Linked DNA regions of Oryzias latipes. The protein of the gene in region 1 binds, or shares a complex with, the protein of each later gene. Links are inferred from orthologs where the notes say so. Each region holds a gene or a part of one and is shown in the gene's direction. Other genes may lie near its edges.

Region 1 (5,819 bases):
CCAGCAGGCAGCGCTGCTCGCCATCCGTGGGCCCTGCAGAGCCACACATTAGAAGAGTCACATGCATCAATATATAAGAAAAACCTAGGAAAACATTACTCTTTAAATGTGTATTTTAAAGTGCTGCTGTTCTAACTCAGGTTATATATTTGTTCATTTATTTTAACGCCCTTTTATTTGTTCATATAAATTAAAATGATAATTTCTGTTTCCTAATTAATCAGAATTTGCATATTTTGGCAGAAAGAAAGTTAATAAACTGCGTAAAAAGACCCGAGCATTTATTCCATCTTTCTCCCTAAAGCTCTGACCGCAGAGGATTGTGGGAGTTTTGTCTCCCCTCATCATCGTGTTCTAAAGGGGAAAATTAAGGAACGTTAAAGCTCTTTTCTTTGCTGAATCAGAACATGTGAACCAAAGAAGCACAGTTGGAGACGGGGATGATCTGACAGGATTTTGCTTTTTCCGCCTCTCATCGTTTTATGTCTGTGATTTTTATTTTTTAATGTCTCGGTGTGCTCCGGATGCTGCTGCTGGAGGAGGAGCTCCCGAGCTTCGTGTTAGTTTCCATTTAAAAGCAGAACGTTTGGGTGTTTGATGTCGGCTCAGAGCTGCGATCTGAACAGAAGTGAAGTCATCAGCGGCGATCAGCGCCGGCGGGACAATGACTCGTCGACTGCCCTTCAATTGAAGCTGCTGCTTGCCTGTTGATGTCACTCCCCACGCTCTGTCATTACCTGTTGTTACACATCCAAACAGGAGGAGACGTGATCGGACTAGAGCTAGCATCTACCATCCTCCTTGAGGGCAAAAGAACTCTGAGAACTTGTCCAAAGATTGTCTGCATGGAGCTTCAGGCCAGAAGACGAAGTGCTGCGTCAGCTGGGAGTCCGAGTCAGAAATAACCTGCAGATCAGATCAGGGAAGGAGGACAGGCGAGATCTGAGATGAGGTCAGATATGCAAAGGTCCTCCAGAGCTCAGCTTATCGCTCCGTCAGAAACTTTCTGTCTGCTGCGATTCTGCGTCCGTTAGAGGATCTCTGATAACATCGGCAAGCTTTACTTCCACTTTGGTGAACGCAAACGGGTGCAGATTAAACGCAGCAGCGGTTTGCTCTTCCACTGATCTTCAGGAGAGCTTCTCCAAACCTCTCTCTCCATGTCACCTGAAACCGGATCTCACCGCTTCCGGCACCAACAACCTGTACAGTCAACGTGTCATTAATCTGGCCTTCAGACTTGAACTGTCTTCTTTAACCTCGGATACCTGAAGTCTGACTGCCAGCCTATCCTGAAGGACATCTTTCCACAGACACTTTGGAGGACACACGGATTCCAACTCGGGTCCTCTGAGCCATGAAACAACCACTGAGCTATGAGTCAAAAATGAAAAACTGATGGTAATGAAGGACAGAAAAGACCAACATCATTTAGTCCGTCTAAGGTTGTATTCAGACCGGACACATTTGTTTTGGTTCGCCTTAAGTAAACCAGAGTTCATTTACCCCAATTATCAGTATGAATGCATCATAGAGGACTCTGGTCCGGGACCAGGAACCACTCTCGGACCCATCTGACGAGGTGGTCTCGGTCCATTTCCAATCAGACTGAGCTCCGGTTCACACTCAGTCTAAATACAATCCATTCCCAAAGCACAACAACAGGACCAAAACGGCCACCGTAGCCGACGTAAACAGAGTAGGACTGAAGCAACGGATGAGCTGTGGACAAATATGAAGCAACGATTGCCGTGTCATCAAACAGAAAAAAAGGTCCAACTGTTTATTTGTCAGAACGTATGCTGTAACACAGGCGAAGATCACTTCTTCCATGCTTTTCTTGCATGCTTCATTCTGTTTCCCGAAACAGAATTCTCTTAAAAATCTGACATAAAACCACAACGATGAGACACAGCAACTCATTGAAATGTGGTCGGATGAATGCAGGCTCATCATTTAATGTGATCCACTTTGCTTCTCACTGTTTTCCCAACAAACCATATGTCAAAATCACTTCATACCCGACGTCTCCTCATCACTGCAGTTGCTAATATCCTCGCGCGCCACGCCTCCTTGCCAGTGACCTGCCTTGCAGCGTGCCTCTGCCGTACCAAAGCTTTGGTCCGGAGCAGAATGGTCCGCTTGATGCCAGTCTGAATACAGACCAAACGCAGGGTTCAGGACTCGATCCGGAACAAAGGATTTTCCTAGTCTAGACATACCCTGAAAGATCAGCTGGTGGAGAAAAGCTCTCAACATTTCCACAACAAAGACCAGAAAATAGTGGAGACTCTATTTTATCCCAACACGGTCTTCTGAGACTTGTTGCTGATTTTCTTGCTGTTCGTTTTTATTACGCCATGAGGAATACAGTAGCAGCAGGAGGATCCAACTACAAGGTCTGTAGGATCCTCTCCACAAGTCCTCGCTCTCTGGTGTTTCACGGAGTTTGAAGCTTCTCCAGGCGATGGGTTAGCCTCCAGTGTCGTTGTTGCGTTTTCTTGGTGTTTGGCGTTGTGAGGCTCTCACCGCCGCATGTGCGTTTGTGTTTCAGGGGCCCCGAAGACACGTGTTTCGAAGGCGGAGTGTTCCCCGCTGTCCTCAGCTTCCCCTCCGATTATCCTCTCAGTCCTCCCAAGATGAGGTTCACCTGTGACATGTTTCACCCCAACAGTGAGTCCGCCCACGGCTTTGTGCCTGCTTTCGTCACCATGGCAACAGATGTTGAGCGCACAAACCTGCGACCGCTTTAAGTATCTGTGATGGAGCAACGTTTGATTTCATCTTCTTGATGACTCAGGAAAACTGAAATTTGGATCTTAAAACCTCCACTCACACACGCACACACACACCCCTACACTCACACACGCACACACACACACACACCTCCACTCACACACACGTCTTGTGTCTTAGCCCGTCTGCAGACTTGTCTCGGCACGCTCCAGAGCTTGTTGCTGTTGGCGTGTTTTTACCGCTCTCTGATTAGTGGGGCCGAAGCCGTGATGTCAGGACACGAGCGCTCTGAGCGCGCTCAGTGCTGATGAGAAGACGAAGTGCTTGTCGCTCATCTTCACCAGCATGGCCCTGAGCCGAACTCCACGCTGCAACTGTTAAAGATGAAACGGAAGCTGCCGATAACAGCGGCTCGGTTTTCAGAGGAGATTTCCTGCAGCTGGACCGAGCGGCAGCGCCCTGAAACCCCCTGCACGGGGAGGGGGTCCAAACAGGATCAGATTAAAGACCCACTCCAATAGAATATGTGGTTTTGGTGTTTTTAAAATGTTTTTGTTGCATTTTTCTTGTGATAGAGGACATAGAGCATCGAAGCTTGTAACTGCCTTTCTTAGTATTTATTAATTTAAATCATGGTAAATCAGGAGCAGATGACAAAACAAAAACGCTCTCAGTTGTGATGTAGAAACTCCAAGGGGCAGGCTAAAGTCTCACTGCTCCACTCTCTTCCAATGCACACACTTCTGGACGACTAGATCCATGAACGTCCTTAAAACTGTTCGGCGGGAAACATCCAACATTTTTCACCATATTTGTTGCACCTCTCAGCTTGGGGTTGTGAGGGGCTGTAAGCTAACGGGAGAGAGTGTAAAAAAATAAAAGACGATACGAAATGAAATATAATCCCATTTAGCAGTTTAAAAAAAAAGTTGCTAAGAGTTCAGAGAAGCTAGAACCGGTGAACTAAAGCGTTCTCCTCCCCCGCCCCAGTCTATCCCGACGGACGGGTGTGCATCTCTATCCTCCACGCCCCGGGTGACGATCCCATGGGTTACGAGAGCAGCGCCGAAAGGTGGAGTCCAGTCCAGAGCGTGGAGAAGATCCTGCTCTCCGTGGTCAGCATGCTGGCAGGTATGGAACTCGTTTGCGTCTGACACCAGCAGGGACTCGGCGCCATTCACAGATTCAACCTGTCGTCCTCAGAGCCCAACGATGAGAGCGGCGCCAACGTCGATGCCTCGAAAATGTGGCGCGAGGACAGAGAGCAGTTCAACAAACTGGCTCAGAAGATCGTCCGCAGGTCTCTGGGTTTATGAGGAGGACGTCTCGTCAGGGCGTCTGTCGGTGAAAGACCATCACCATGGAAACCACCAGCACACAGAGCCGCTGACATGGACAGACTGATGGGAGGGTGCTCGTCAAGGCGCGTCAGCAGCCGTACACTGCATGTCTTCTTACCTCCTCTGCTAGTCTCCTCCCCCAGACTCTTGCTTTAGTGGTCACAGCGGCGTTGGACTTCTTCGGACTTTTTAGACTGTCTGTCTTCGTGACGCAGGATCCTCACGATGCGCAGTTGGGCTTTCACAGCCGGGCCGTCGTAGCTCTGCTGCAACGTCTCCTGTGGATTTGTCTGATTTCACAAATAGATCAATAAAGGCAATGAAAGAGTGAGGTGCTTGTTATGTTGGTTTACTCTCTGCAAAATGTGAGGAAGTGTGGGAATCTGCAGCCGTGAATCGCTGCATAACTTCAGTCAACCAGGAAGGAGGTGAGCAAAGAGGAAGACAAGACAACACAAGACTCTTCAAAGTTCTGGATCCTTCAGATTCTCCTCAAACCCTGTCTGAAGGTTGATCTGTAAGTCACAGTTTCTTAAAGTCAGGTGTTTAGCTTTCAAGCACAACTAAGATTTTAGACCTTTGAGTAATCTTACTAGGATTACAGTTTATTTAAAGAAAACTTGTTGCAAGTATTTCTTTATCCATTTTGTGCTGACTCAGAAGCAGATGATAAAGATGTCCTTTGAAAAAGCTTGTAGTTGTTACATAAATACTATAATCAGTTGGTCTAAAGCTCCCTGCTTCACTGCATTCTGATGCATCCACTTGCAAACAAATAGATCCTTCGTTTTCCTCGTCCGAGCTGGAATCTGGCCTAAAACTGTACGTCTGGATAGCTCCAATAATACTTGCCATTTTTGTCGCACTGGTTGGGTTGGGGTTGGTGATGGGCTCGCGGGAGAGAATGTAAACAAAGGGATGATGGGACATGAGCACAGGCTTACTCCTCGCCAACAGTCCCGCCCCCAACTCAGAGGTGATTTGCTAATAAACTACAGACACTCTGCAGAAACTATGTCCTAGAAAACAACACGATTTTGATTAAAACCAGCAAAGTGGTAATTAAAAAACCACTGGAAGCAAAAGGAATCAAATGTTGATCAGAGTGTGACTTGAATTAACAACTTTTACAGCAAGAATCAAATCAAACTGTATCTGTACATTAAAGCACTTTACATACTAACGCAAAGTGCTTCACAGGCATGAAATTAAAAATAAAATTATAAAAAAATACATAATGCTCCCAGCACCCAACATAATGAAAGCCAAAAGGACCCATAGAAAAGGTTAAAACGTATTAGAAACAGAAACCAGCCTGGATGCAGTTGTGAAGAAATTATATTCTAGGAATCTGTCCGCACCAGCGACCGACCCACTCGTGATCTAAGAGTATAGTAAATCGTAAAGTAGTTAAGTAAATCTTAGTGCACATGAAGCTCAAATTCATATATATATAGAAGGAGGACTCCATAAAAGTAAAGTAAATCTAAAGGTCCATTAAAATCTGATCTGAGCTGAATTTTTTGGTCCCATAGTTTTTAAATTTACCTTTAATAATGAATTCAATTATTTGAGACTTTTTTTATTTGTTAAAAAAAAGAAGAAGGAAAACGTGGAAAAGACAGTGAAGCACAGGACTTCCCAGGGATTACAGGTTTAAGTTTAAATCTTAAATCCTCAGACATGTTAGCAGGAGTTTGCCACGAAGAGATCTACAAAATAAAAGAAAAACATTTAAAAATA
Region 2 (6,465 bases), on another chromosome or scaffold:
TAGAACACAGACATAAGGGCGGTATTCCAAAAAGCAGGTTATTTGAGTTACCACGGTAAGTTAAAGGGTTAAGGAAGAGGATAACCTCAGCTTTCGGTTCCAAAAACAGAGGTATGTTTCAGGGCATGATTAGTTGCCATAGCAACTCATGCTCTGACCATAACCTGGTCTGGAATAGGTTTAGTTGAAGGTTAGTTTGTTTTGAAACAGAAACAGACGAAGAAATTAGGTTGAATAAATTTAACTCGATTACTTGCTATTAATTGAAGTAATTCATTTAAGTTTTATATATATATATATATATATATATATATATATATATATATATATATATATATATATATATATATATATATATATATATATATATATATATATGCATCATAATGAAGATAGAAATAAGATAGAAACTGATGTGTTTACTCTGTCCGTTATTTTTCTCCAAGCATAAACTCTTTCATTTTCTGATTCGTCTGGATTACTCTTTTGACGGGTTTATAATCTTCATACGCCGTCATTAAAATCTCAGACTCCGTCTCACTGAAGTATAGCGCTCTCTTTTTTTCACCACGCGTTTCCATGGTGACTCCGGAAATCGGCGATCCATTGAGAATGTCTTTATGTACTTGCCGTGCACTTGCATTAACCCAGGGCGTAATTACGCTAACTCATATCCGGTCATTAAAGTCATGGTAGTTTAAACATGCTTTCTGGAATACACCCCAGAGTTAGTTACCAATCTGCTCTGCAGATGGATGAAGCCACCTATTGGTTTTAATCAAGACTACGTGCCAAATTCTGATTTTTCTTTGTACTTTCGGCTGTTTTCAGTGAAATATTGTTTCCTTTCAGATTTATTGTGAGGGTCATGTGCTCAGTCCTGGGGATGCATGTGAGACAGAAAAACCCTCGGTCCAGAGACAGAAACATCAAGTTGTACATATGCAATCACGTAACAGAGTTTGACCACAACATATTCAACCTCCTGACCCCATGCAATACAGTAAGTGCTCACAATTGTACAGTTATACACATTTGAGCAGTTCTTCAGTGGGAAATCAGGTTGTTGTTAACAAAGTTTGAAGACTTTTATTCATTTGTCAGTTTATGTGTCAACAGCGTTGCTTAAGTTTTGAAATTTGCACATTATTGTACGAAACACACATTTAAAAGAACTGAAATCCCGTTTTCTTCTCCAAAAATGACTGTGGATGTCAGGGTATGCTATTAGTGGAGTAGATGTCTGCAAAAAACATCATATATTTTCACCTGTGTATAAAGTTTTTACATTTTTCTTGCTTCAAGTGTTTCTGTAACTGCACCTTTTCAATATAGAACAGTAAATACCGTCTTTGTGCTTTTTTCATGCTTTTCAGCCGCAGTTAGAAGGCTCCACGGGCTTTGTGTGCTGGGCCAGAGGCTTCATGGAAGTCCATTCTGCATCTGGCCGGGCAGCGATTGGAGAGTCTCTTCAGAGATACTGCTCCACTGAGGGCACCCAGCCGTTGCTGCTGTTTCCTGAAGAGGACACCACCAACGGACGTGCTGGTCTCCTGAAGTTCAGGTTTGTGCCAGCCTTGTTGTCCTCTAGATAAAGCAATAGTACCCTCAGCATTTCTTGTTATGATCAAAAAGCCTTCTTTGAATGTGGAGTTAAATGCATTAATCTGGACTTTTAAACCTGCACATCCCATTCTGTTTGAAAACAACCTCCATCTGTAGATGCACAGACTCTGAATCTAAAGAGATTATGTGCAGAAAGCTTTCCTGCTTGCTCAGCTAATTTGTTGTTTTTGTTTGAAGTGCTGCTTTGAATTTCAGCAGATAACTATAATAATCAGGACAGAAACACTTTTTTTCTATGTGTCATTATATTTCCATGCGTAGTTTTCTATCTATGTTTAGTTGTTTTTTTTAATCTTTTTTATTCAGGATAATACAAATATGAAGGTGAAGAATTGAGAATAGCGGCAGAGCTTGATTCATTTGTTCTTTAGTTTGGAGAACCTCGAAATGATCACAGATTTTCAGTGAAACCAGAGTTCAGACGTTCGGTTTCTGCACATAATTATCCTACAGTTTGAAGCTGCTGCTTGTTTGTTCTGCGTTAAAAAAAACAAGTCAAGCATTTTTTTATATAGAGCTAATCATACTGTACACCAAAATAATAATAATAATAAATAAAAATAGAAATCCTTTTAATCAATCTAGGTAAACATTGGGCTGAGTGTGGAATACATTTGGTAAGTGGAAATGCTCATTTTTGGGACCTCCTCCTCTGGGGATAGATGCACATGTTATGAATATTAAAATGAATAATTAATAATTATGTATACTCATAAGACATCATAATAAAATTCATTAGAAGCCGAGCTAAATAAAGGCTGCCAGGTTGTTCTGATTTTCAGACGAGACAAAAAATAGGATACAAGATTTGTAGAAAACACAACATTACTGTAACATTTTCATTACAAATGTGTTCAAATTAGGTGGTGTGCTTCACTTCCAGTTTGTGGGGAAAAGAACAAATTTTTTTGAGGTTTTCTGTTAAACACAGAGGATTATTAAGAGGCTCAAGTTCTGTTAGATGCTGACGACCATGTTTTTGTTTTCAGCTGCTCTGAATCTATTTTGCTGTTTATAGCTAAACAAGCCCAGTTAATGACCGGCGGACAGGCAGACGGACGGACGGGCGGGGGGGCGGGCGGGCGAGGTGGGCGGGCGGGCGGTCATTTGTTCATCTGAGGGGAATCTTTGATCCCACAAATATTTGAAAAGTGACTATTAAGATTATTAAAGGCAGGATAAATCCTGTTACTCTAATTAACACGACTTTAGAGTTTATTTGATATTAGACTGAATTTCTTCTGGATATTGAAACTGCTTTTGTTCTCAAGCTGCTTCTGGTTTTACTGTATTCATGACTTCATGATTCTTACGCCTCTGGGGAAAGCAGTGCGGTATAATACTGTAAGGCAGCTGTTTAAAAGTGTTGCCTTGATTCATAGTTGATGACCATAAAAAATATTCTACTCTACAAGAAAACAGAGAAAAATGTAAGAAAGTTGGAATTTTTCTGTTTTTTTAAAATTAAAATAAAATTATATAAATCATCTTTTTGACACAAAAGCATTTGATTAAACATCCTAGCGCATTTAAAAGAAGGGGAACAAGTATAAAAACATCTCAGACTTTCACTTTAATGAGAGCATCGTTATAATTTAAGACGCTGCTGTTGTGTTCCAGTGTGTTGTGTGTGTTACCTGTTCTTGAACATTCACGAAGAGGAAGTGATGGCAGTGCAACAAAAGAAGAAAAGCCCAAAGAACAATGTAGAGACCAAACACACGAGTCCCAATGAATTTGCTTCACTGCAGCTTTATTGTGGGGATGTAAAGAGGAAAAGCTGTCAGCATCCAAATGTTTAGGACGCTGTGTTTACGTTGAAGAACCAGATAACAAACAAAAGATTACATTTTATATTTTGACATTGGTTTTGTCTTTCAGTTCTTTGCCTTTCTCACTGACGGAGTCTGTCCAACCTGCGGCCTTACGGGTGACCAGGCCACTGGTGTCCCTGGTAAGATCTTCTGTCTAGATATGTTGGTCGTCTTATTAGATACATGTATGCTCAGGTGTTGGTTCTCTTCTTAGAATCAAGAAAATCTCACAAAGGCCACAGAATAACTTAACTATCAAAAGGGAAAAAAAGCAACCAAAGAAGATCAGACAATTAATCACTGTTCTATAAAATGATAAGATGTGAACGCTAAAAAGATGGAGATCAATTGACTTTAAGGACATTCCTATATGCTTTTTAGATGATTTTTGATGTTTGTGTAGCAAAAAATAATCAAACGTTGGAACAAAATGTACAGATAGTCCTTTTTTTTTAATGGTTTATTTCAAGCAATCAAATAGGAATACATTTTTAAAGAAAGTGATCCAGTTGTGGAATATTGGTTAAAAAGAAAATCGGTGAATCGTCCTGGAATTTACTGGAAATCGTTTAGTGTCGCCTGTGTTTTTCTAGATTACCATAATTTCTGAATTCCTGCATTTGTGGGATAGTTCGGAGAGCTGAGCTCCATGAACCGTCGTGGTTTTTTCCTCCACAGAACACAGCAGAGTCCAGTTGGCTGGTGGAGCTCTTATGGACCTTTTTTGTTCCATGTACAGTGTATCATGTAAGGTACTAACTCATTTGTGTCTTTATTTCTGCCATTTTATAATTTTAGATTCATGTGAAACTTCAGAGTTTTTTTTTCTTTACAACAAGAAAGTAATTGGATTATTTACAGTTTGAATTTTTTAATTTGTCTTTCCAGTTGGCTCCCACCGGTTTCCAGACAAGACGGCGAGTCTGCACAGGAATTTGCCAACAAAGTCCAGGAGGTAAGCTCATACAATTTGAAAAGAAAAGGGAAGAAGAAAAAAATCCCAGATTTCAAGATGAGGCCAATTCTTTGGTGTAGAGAGTGTTTTCACTGACGTCACAGATCCAGTCATGTTGGTCATATCCAGTTGTATCAGATTAGCTATGAAAGTAAAAACGAGTTGTATAGATCAGTGGTCACTAACCGCCGAGGTGCAGACCGGTACCGGTCCATGGGACAGTTGGTAACGGGCTGCAGAGGGGAAAAAAACGTGACCTACATTTTTTCCATTTTACTTATAATCTGGTTCTGAAGGAAGTTTTATTTTTGAAAACGTCTGGATTCATTCTTGATGCCTGCCAAGTTCAATTCAATTCAATTCAATTCAATTTTATTTGTATAGCCCAAAATCACAACAACAGTCGTCTCGATGGGCTTCGAAGTAAAACATGAACTCAAAAGGATCACGAATACAAAGAGTTCAATAGGAAAATACTAAAATGAACTAACAAACTTACTAAGCTATACTGGCATCCCTGCCCTTAGACCCCCCTTCGCGGTAAGGAAAAACTCCCAAAAAAAACGGATTCCGGAAAAAACGAAGAAACCTCAGGGGTGCCCACATGAAGGAGGGATCCTCCCCCAGGACGGACAGGCGATTTACCAGAAATCTTAGAGAAGAATTAACTTATCAAAATCTACAACTACATATATAAAAGTCCAGCAGACGAGCTTCATCCAGCCGTGGTTGTGGGGACAGTCAGGGGAGCCGGAGACAGGATCCACAGCCAGGTGTAGGAGCAGGAGCGAAGGCGAGGTAAACGGTCAGGAACTGGAGCACGGATGAACCAACTGGAATCTGGAAGCACTCCCACTCCCCAGGAGGGGAGAGGAAAAGAGGGACAATACATGAATCGCACGGCACCAAACAGAGGCATGGAGAACTAAATGATAAATTATGATCAAGAATAGAGGAGAGGAAGGGTAGAAGTAAAAAAGGAAAGAGGACAGAACCCCAGTGCACCATAGTTACCCCAGCTTCAACTTCTAGCAGCCTTTAAAAATAAATAGTTATTAAGTTTAATTTAAACAAATTAACATTAAGTTAAATAATCTCTGAATACTAACTAGTCTGACAATAAGCCTGTCCAAAGAGGAATGTTTTCAGTCTAACTTTGAATGTAGAAACTGAATCGGCCTCTCTTACATGAGCTGGGAGTTTATTCCATAAGACAGGGGCTTGGTGGCTAAACGCTCTACCTCCAACCGTACTTTTACTAATTCTAGGAACCACAAGCAGTCCTGCATTTTGCGAGCGAAGTGTTCTGATTGGATGGTAAGGGACTATGAGGTCCTTAATATAGGACGGGGCCATTCCATGTAAGGCCTTATAGGTTAACAGGAGGATCTTGAACTTGATTCTGGAATCAACTGGGAGCCAATGGAGCGAAACTAACACAGGAGTGATGTGATCTCTTCTGCTAGTTCCAGCTAACAATCTAGCTGCTGCGTTCTGAACAAGCTGGAGACTTCTTAAGGAACTCTTAGGACACGCTGCTAACAAGGAGTTACAGTAATCCAGCCTCGACGTAACAAATGCATGGATGAATTTTTCAGCATCACTCTTAGAAAGTATATTTCTGATCTTAGCAATATTCCGCAGGTGAAAAAAGGCAGTTCTGCACGCCTGAGATATGTGAGCCTTAAATGATAAATCCTGGTCAAGTAAAACCCCAAGGTTTCTAACTGTGGAATTGGGGGCTATACTTATGCCATCCAGGGAGACTATCTGAGCAGACAGAGTATCTCTGAGGTTTTTAAGACCAAGTATAATGACCTCAGTTTTTTCTGGGTTCAAGAGGAGGTAATTAATTGTCATCCAGGTCTTGATGTCACTGATGCAGGCGTTCAGTTTCTCTATCTGGTCATTCTGGTCAGGCTTCATGGATAAATACAACTGCGTATCGTCGGCATAACAATGAAAATTAATGCTGTGTTTCCTGATTATGTTTCCTAGGGGTAGCATATAAAGCGTAAACAGGATCGGTCCCAAGACTGAGCCCTGTGGGACTCCATAGTTGACTCGAGT

The links.
Region 2: the proteins of ube2g2 (region 1) and aup1 are in contact, whole or in part, in a crystal structure (PDB 7LEW), measured with the Homo sapiens proteins. The link is inferred for Oryzias latipes from reciprocal best matches to the Homo sapiens genes UBE2G2 and AUP1. Residues at the interface, in NP_003334.2 of Homo sapiens: Tyr13, Thr17, Pro20, Gly23, Ile24, Val25, Ala26, Gly27, Pro28, Met29, Asn30, Glu31, Glu38, Leu40, Met42, Glu45, Glu50, Phe51, Val53, Pro55, Lys156, Val159, Gln160, Ser162, Leu163, Leu165; in NP_853553.1 of Homo sapiens: Ser379, Arg382, Gln383, Leu386, Arg389, Lys390, Leu393, Tyr394, Tyr396, Ala397, Arg398, Arg400, Phe401, Thr402.

What each region holds. Positions count from the first base shown.
Region 1 is NC_019879.2:26,800,195-26,806,013, reverse strand, and holds the end of ube2g2 (ubiquitin-conjugating enzyme E2 G2), read left to right. Parts: intron 1-2,554; coding exon 2,555-2,673; intron 2,674-3,726; coding exon 3,727-3,867; intron 3,868-3,939; coding exon 3,940-4,052; 3' UTR 4,053-4,407; downstream 4,408-5,819. UniProt on the Homo sapiens protein: Accepts ubiquitin from the E1 complex and catalyzes its covalent attachment to other proteins. In vitro catalyzes 'Lys-48'-linked polyubiquitination. Involved in endoplasmic reticulum-associated degradation (ERAD).
Region 2 is NC_019868.2:26,073,653-26,080,117, reverse strand, and holds part of aup1 (ancient ubiquitous protein 1), read left to right. Parts: intron 1-852; coding exon 853-1,003; intron 1,004-1,376; coding exon 1,377-1,564; intron 1,565-3,507; coding exon 3,508-3,580; intron 3,581-4,118; coding exon 4,119-4,192; intron 4,193-4,328; coding exon 4,329-4,395; intron 4,396-6,465. UniProt on the Homo sapiens protein: Plays a role in the translocation of terminally misfolded proteins from the endoplasmic reticulum lumen to the cytoplasm and their degradation by the proteasome. Plays a role in lipid droplet formation. Induces lipid droplet clustering.